Callithrix jacchus: one gene and its partner. The protein of the gene in region 1 purifies or fractionates together with the protein of each later gene. This does not show direct contact. Links are inferred from orthologs where the notes say so. Each region holds a gene or a part of one and is shown in the gene's direction. Other genes may lie near its edges.

Region 1 (3,658 bases):
AGTTTATAGTATGTGCTTTTTTTTCCTCAAAGCACCTACTGAAGAGTCTGTTTCCAGCAGTGCAGAACCCAAGCCTGATCCAAAAAAGGCCAAAGCTCCAGGATTATCCTCTAAAGCAAAGGTATGTCAGTTCTCTATACTTCAATGTAGACTTCCTTTTAAATATGTTTTGTACAATGAGTCATTCTATTAGGAAGGATCATATTATATGTAAAAGAATATCACTACTGTTGATACTAACAAATTATTTATACAAATTTCTGTGGCTCATTTTTAATAAGGTCCTAAAATAGAGACATCCTGCTCTGAAGAGGTGCTGTCATCGTTCCTTTCATGTAGATTTTTAGGGAAAGATTTGCTTTATTGAAAGGAGAAAGGGCCAGGTGTGGTGGCTTACGCCTGTAATCCCAGCACTTTCGGAGGCCAAGGCAAGTGGATCACCTAAGGTCAGGAGTTCTAGACCAGCCTGGACAACATGGTGAAACCTTGTATCTACTAAAAATACAAAAATTAGCTAGGTGTGGCATGCACCTGTAATCCCCACTACTCAGGAAGTTGCGGCAGGAGAATCCCTTGAACCTGGGAGGCAGAGGGTGCCGTTAGCCAAGATCTTGCCGTTGTACTCCAGCCTGGGCAACAGAACGAGACTCAGAAATTAAAAAAAAAAAGGAGAAAGAAAGCATTTGTAGCTCTGGCATAATAAACACTTCAGGCTGATTTGGATTTAAGAAAAGGAGTTTCGCTGTTGTTACCCAGACTGGAGTGCAATGGCACGATCTCGGCTCACCGCAACCTCCGCCTTCTGGGTTCAAGCAATTCTCCTGTCTCAGCCTCCTGAGTAGCTGGGATTACAGGCATGCACCACCGTGCCCAGCTAATTTTTGTATTTTTAGTAGAGATGGGGTTTCACCTTGTTGACCAGGATGGTCTCGATCTCTTGACCTCGTGATCCATCCACCTCGGCCTCCCAAAGTGCTGGGATTATAGGCGTGAGCCACCGCGCCCGGCAAGTTGGACAATTTAAAGCAGTATGTTCAAATGGTCAACTTTATCCTTGAGTGATTTTTTTCATTTTAAGTTTTTTAATAGCAGAAAATTGTCATTATTTCTATCAAGATTCAGATTAATAAACATATTCAGAGCATTATTTAATACTTACAAAAGGAAAATTGCAAAAACTGTGCAATGGGTAGTAAATTTAATAGTAAATCTAAATAGGGAAGTATTTAATTTACTTCCTGTAATTGATGAAAAAATATAGAGTGATAACTTTTTTTAGGCAGTGTATGTACAAATACACTCCAAAATAGAGTGTATTTTGGAGTACATGCTCTAGGGTCATTCCTCTAAATATTACAGTTATCCATTTTTCTTCCCTATGCTTGGCTCTTTAACTCCTCAGTGAGTTAATTTAAATGGGTAATTATCTTCAACTATCCAAAGATGTTGTTCTTTTCCTGTCTGCCTGTCCTCACTCCAAATTTATCAAGTGCTTATTTTAGTGTTGATCACGAGTGCTTTGAAGTATTTTTTGACTCCGTTCTTAATGCCACAGTTTTTTTTCCAGTCTTTTTAAACTTACAAAGCAGTTTCATATACATGATCTCATATTTGTTTGGTCTGAATGACTTAGTGTTTATACTAGAAAGAAATTCTGGCCAACTAGAAATAGTGGCCATGCTGCATTTATAATAATAATGATTCCAATAATGAAATTTGAATTTTACCTTAAACATATATACTCTTTACTATTTTCTATCTAATATGAAGATTGTAAATCTTGGATTATTTTTAAAATCATGTGACTTAAGTTTTTAAAGCATTTCTTATAACTTTCTCTAGAAGGAAGTTTGAAAGGCCTTTAGTTATACTGTTATGATAGAGATACATTTCAATATCAATGGAGAGAAACAGAAAAGCTTTCAAAGTAAGTGATATGAAATGTGTAAATGCCATTCGAGGTGTCATTAATGGCTGAGGCAGGTGGATCACTTGAGGTCAGGAGCTCGAGACCAGCTTGGACAACATAGTGAAACCCCATCTCTACTAAAAATACAAAAATTAGCCAGGGGTGGTGGTGGGTGCCTGTGATCCCACCTACTCAGGAGGCTGAATCAAGACAATCACTTGAACCCAGGAGTCAGAGACTGCAGCGAGCCAAGATTCTGCCACTGCACTCCAGCCTGGGCAACAGAGTGAGACTCCATCTCAAAAAAAAAAAAAAAAGATGTCATTAATGTGGAATGCTATAAATAGTGTTGAAGATTTCAAGATAAAAACAATCATCCAATAAACAAAAAGTCTGTGACCTAGACTAATGATCAGTAGTAGTAGCTTTTACAGCTACATAGCATGCCAGTCCAAGAGCTAACCAACAATTACTTAACAATATTCTCAGAAAAATTTCTGGAGAACCTGTTCAAAAACGTATACAAGATTCTATGACATATTTTTTTTTCATGTGAAATATCATGTAGAAAGATGTCTCTGGTTTCTATAGTGCCCTTTTACTGGGCAGCAGCATCATATTCTTAAGGAGAAGTGGCCAAGCTAATCAGAATTCCCCGAACCTTGGTTGTAGGGTGCACAAGGGAAGAAGGTGCCAAGCAAAACAAGCTTAAAGGAGGATGAAGACAAATCTGGACCGATTTTCATTGTCGTTCCAAATGGAAAGGAGCAAAGGATGAAAGATGAAAAAGGATTGAAGGTAAGGAAGGATTAAGAATCGTCAGAGATTTTTACTTGTTTTGTTATTCAAGAATAGTTTTGCCGTCTGAAATTCATGTTATTGTGAAATATCTAGGAATTCAGTGTTTCTTTTGCTTGTTTTAAGATATTTAAGATATTTTGCTTTATTTAAGATATTTAATAAATATTAGTTTATAGGAGCATTACTTCCTACCAAAAAAACCTATAGAATATAGTTATTGCCTATTTGTCCCTGTAAATAGAAATAAATGATATAGTAGCTTTTTTTTGGTTTCTTCATTTTTAAAATCAAAGAATGGAACATATTCATTGTTGTTGTTTTTTTTTTAATTAACTAGACATATAAGCTTCTTCATTAATCTTTCTTTCTAAGACCTTACAAGGCAGATTTGGTGACTGTTTAATAAATGGCTAGTTCAGTCATTTCTCTTATTTTGCTTTGATTTCATTAGGTACTAAAATTTGTTTTCACAATACATAATCTTTTTTAAAAATTATAAGCAGTACAAAAAGTGCAAAGTATAGTATGAAAAGCATGTCTCTCTTCCATTATCCCTTCACAGGGAGGATATTAGTACTCATTTTTTTAATGTATTACTCCAGAAATATTTAATACCTCTACTGTCATATGTATATTTTTATATAACCTCCTTTACACAGATGGGGACATGCCATACTGTTTGTTCTGTATCTCACTATTTTCTTTTAATGATGTTTGAACTATCTGAAAGATTATTCGTATCTGTATATGTATGTGTGTGTCACTGTTTGTATTGGTACATTATATGTACATATCTTTCTTTATCCTTAGCCTACTGTGTTGGACATTTAGGTTGTTTCTGGTCTTTCACTGTTACAAGCAGTGCTGCTGTGAATATCTTTGAATGTGGGTCTTTGTACACATATGTCAGTTTATCTTTGTTAAACTCCTAGAATAACAATGTGCATA
Region 2 (3,658 bases), on another chromosome or scaffold:
AGGGCCATATACAATTATGACATCTAAGAATTTTTTCGCACCCCAAGAACCAATTTTTGCCCTCTTGGGAATAAATATCTCCTCACTTGAGAATACATGGTATAAACTATAAAAAAGACCTTTAGGAGAAAATTGGAATTGTGACATTAAATTAAATGAAGCATGTGATGGTACGTTGCAGAGTGAACCATGAAAACTTTTTAGGCCACAGATACCTTTGAGACTCCTGTAAAAATTATGACTCCTGTTATCACCAAAATGTACACATGCACAGAATTTTTAATACTTTTTAGAGGGTTCATGGCTACTTGCCCTGGTCATCATCTGAAAGTAGTTATTCTTGTCTATGCATTTCATTAGGAGATACCATCTGCTTAACTATGAAGTAAGACATTTCTGTAAAGTAAACTCTTCAACCTTTACAATGAAAGAATCCTTGAAATACATATTTTAGAGTCTTGACAGTTGGCTGAGGGTAATGAAGCATTGCTATGATTTAGTTCAAAAACTTTCTGTTGTCTGTGTATATAATAGGTTCTCTTTAAATATAGTAAGCTTTATCAAGCTGTAGCATTTATTAAGAAACTAGAGTGTTTCTTACTCTGCTGATTTACTTCCCCTAGAAAAATAGAAGGACTTAGTGCTTGCTTTATTTAACCCTACAACCCAATAGCATAGTACTCTTTTCTTCTGTAATTTTAATTAACTCCTCACTGAGACCGTGGTATTGTCAGCTGGTTAGGGGCTGGTTATTGTTGTGGATGTGAAAAAATAAAGAATGCTGCCTAGCTCTATACCTTAGGATAATTCTCTTATTTCTTCGAACCCTGGCTTTTTAGATTCCAGTATTTTGTTACAAGCTCAGCCATCTCTTTGCTCTTGGTTTTGTATTGTGTTTTGGTAACAATAGAAATATTAGTCTTGCTTTAACAATTTTTCTAAGCCATTCACATGCATGAATATTTATTTTCCTGGTGAATAAAAATAATAATAAAAATATATGTGATACTTCTTTGAAAACTGCAGCTTCCCCTACCCACCCCTTAGAGATGATTTTCCTTTTTACAGCGTTGTTTTTTGTAAAACTTAGAAATGTAGAATTACAGAGTTAGGCAGTTGCCTGGTCAAGGTCATTCATTTTTAAGATGAAAAATGCAAGATCCTATAGTGATTGTGACTTCCTTAGGATCCACTTGTTAGGAGAGCCTACATTGGGAACTGGATTTTTCTTTTCTAATGGTGCTCTTTTCACTGGTCTGTTGTCTTTTGTTAGGTGACTTTAGTGCCATATTGGCTATAACTAGACACTAAGTAACTTGTTGGTTGCTATTTTGGTTCCCAAACTGAATGAAGGACTAAGTGGACTCTAGGAATTTATAGTTTTAAAGATACCCTAGGGTGATTCTCATCTACTAGTTTGATGAACCATGTTAGTAATAGCACTTTCTGTGTGCGAATGCAGGACTTGAGGATTTGAATACCACTTTATAACAGATTTTTTGACTAGAGTGCCAATAGTTAGCAGGACGTGCTGAGAGTATTACCTAAATTCTATACTTCTGCATTGCAGTTTGTTTCCTCATTGAATATGTTACATACGAACTTTTTTTCTCTGGTTCTAGAAGCATCTATACTCCTTGAAGTACTCCCAAGATTGCTTGGGTATTTTTGAAGGTATCAAGCTATATAGGATAATTCTTTCAAAATTCTTACTTGAAGACTTAGAATTTAAGCTTGAAAACAAGCTTAAAACAATAGAAATTGAAGTCTCTTGAGTAATGAAGCAATCAAGATTTCCTTTGTGCCCAAGTACTGAATCCCTAAATGTGGGTTAGGTGTTTGTTTGGTACTTTATCCTTTTCATGAGTAAGATTACTTCAATAATTAAGTATCCAAGGAGTTTTATTTACTCACATATGTATTCTTTTCCACTGGTTGGATGGTAATTGTTTCCCCTAAATATTCCTTTGATATTACTCTCAAATTTGGATTACTATCTTTAGGGGTAGACATTTTTTTAAATGTATGATTCTACCATGTGAGACAGATTTCAGATTTAAGAAGAAATCTGGAAATTGGGCAGTGGTTTATGGGATTTTGTTTAATTTTAAAATAACCTTCAGATGTGATTTATGCATCCTTGTATGGGAGGATGTCTAAAAGCAGAAAGAGAGTTTTGTTTTTGTTTTTGTTTTTTTTTTACACTTTACACCCTATTCGAATTGCTCAGTGATAATCTTTTACTTTAAAAATATTTAAATGTTTAAAAATATAATTTAAATAAATAACATTCATTGTTGCCAGGTCTCCGGCAAGAATATGCAGCCACCACGTCTCGGCGCAGTTCTGGTTCTTCTTGCAATTCTACAAGACGGGGTACTTTTAGTGATCAGGAACTTGATGCACAAAGTTTAGATGATGAAGATGACAATATGCATCATGCAGTATACCCTGCTGTTAACAGGTTTTCACCATCACCACGCAATTCACCTCGACCGTCACCTAAGCAGTCACCCAGAAATTCACCTCGTTCACGATCTCCTGCTCGAGGAATAGAATATAGTAGAGTGTCTCCACAGCCTATGATTAGCCGCTTACAGCAACCTCGCCTTTCACTTCAAGGCCATCCCACAGATTTACAGACAAGTAATGTAAAAAATGAAGGTAAATCAGCAGATTTTACTGTTAATTAGACAGTTTCTGCTAGTCTGTGCAACAACATAGCAAGAACCCATCTCCAGGAAAATATTAATTAGCTAGGCATGGTGATGTACATCCATAGTCCTAACAACTTAGGAGGCTGAGGCTGGAGAATTGGTTGAGCTCAGGAGTTTGAAGCTATAGTGAGCTATGATCACACCACTGCACTCCAATCTGGGCAACAGAGCGACACCCTGTTTTCATTTTGAAGTGTCCTTTATGTTTTGTTATGAAAGTAATACAATTTTTGCCAAGCTTTTGTATTTCAGATAAGTAAATCAAGAGTTTAGTCAAGTTTACTATTTTATTAATAGTAAATCATTACAAGAATAAAGGAGAAAGTGAATTTCATTTTACTTGCTATACGATTTGTGGTTATCTTTAAGGGTTCTCTTAATTTACCCACTTACGGATCCTAGGTTGAGTTTTTTTTGTTTTTTTTTTTAAAGACAAGTCCTACTTGTTTTCACATGTAAAATAAACAGAATATTTGGCCTGGCGTGGTGGCTCATATCAATAATCCCAGCACTTGTGGGAGGCCGAGGCGGGTGGATCACAAGGGCAAGAGATTGAGATTGTCCTAGCCAACATGTTGAAACCCTGTGTATACTAAGAATACAAAAATTAGTTGAGCTTGGTAGTGCACGCCTATAGTCCCAGCTACTCCGAAGGCTGATGGAGGAGAATTGCTTGAACCTGGGAGGCAGAGGTTGTAGTAAGCCAAGATTGTACCACTGCACTTCAGCCTGGCAACAGAGACTACATCTCAAAAAAAAAATCAAAATGTTAGATAAACAATATAATTTTTGAATGCTAATTAATATTTTAACTTTATCTAAAGAATGATTTGATTTTTAAAAAAATTTTTAATTAAAATTCTATTGCAGAAAAACTAAGGCGCAGTCTTCCAAACCTGTCCCGAACATCTAATACACAAGTTGACTCAGTGAAAAGCAGC

Evidence for each region. The genes of interacting proteins can lie anywhere in the genome.
Region 2: the proteins of CKAP5 (region 1) and SLAIN2 purify together in Homo sapiens (affinity purification with mass spectrometry; 4 studies listed by BioGRID and IntAct, counting the BioPlex papers as one, with this or other methods). This does not show direct contact. The link is inferred for Callithrix jacchus from reciprocal best matches to the Homo sapiens genes CKAP5 and SLAIN2.

What each region holds. Positions count from the first base shown.
Region 1 is NC_133511.1:111,814,429-111,818,086, reverse strand, and holds part of CKAP5 (cytoskeleton-associated protein 5), read left to right. Parts: intron 1-32; coding exon 33-121; intron 122-2,581; coding exon 2,582-2,707; intron 2,708-3,658. UniProt on the Homo sapiens protein: Binds to the plus end of microtubules and regulates microtubule dynamics and microtubule organization. Acts as a processive microtubule polymerase. Promotes cytoplasmic microtubule nucleation and elongation. Plays a major role in organizing spindle poles.
Region 2 is NC_133504.1:145,434,388-145,438,045, reverse strand, and holds part of SLAIN2 (SLAIN motif-containing protein 2), read left to right. Parts: intron 1-2,304; coding exon 2,305-2,664; intron 2,665-3,587; coding exon 3,588-3,658.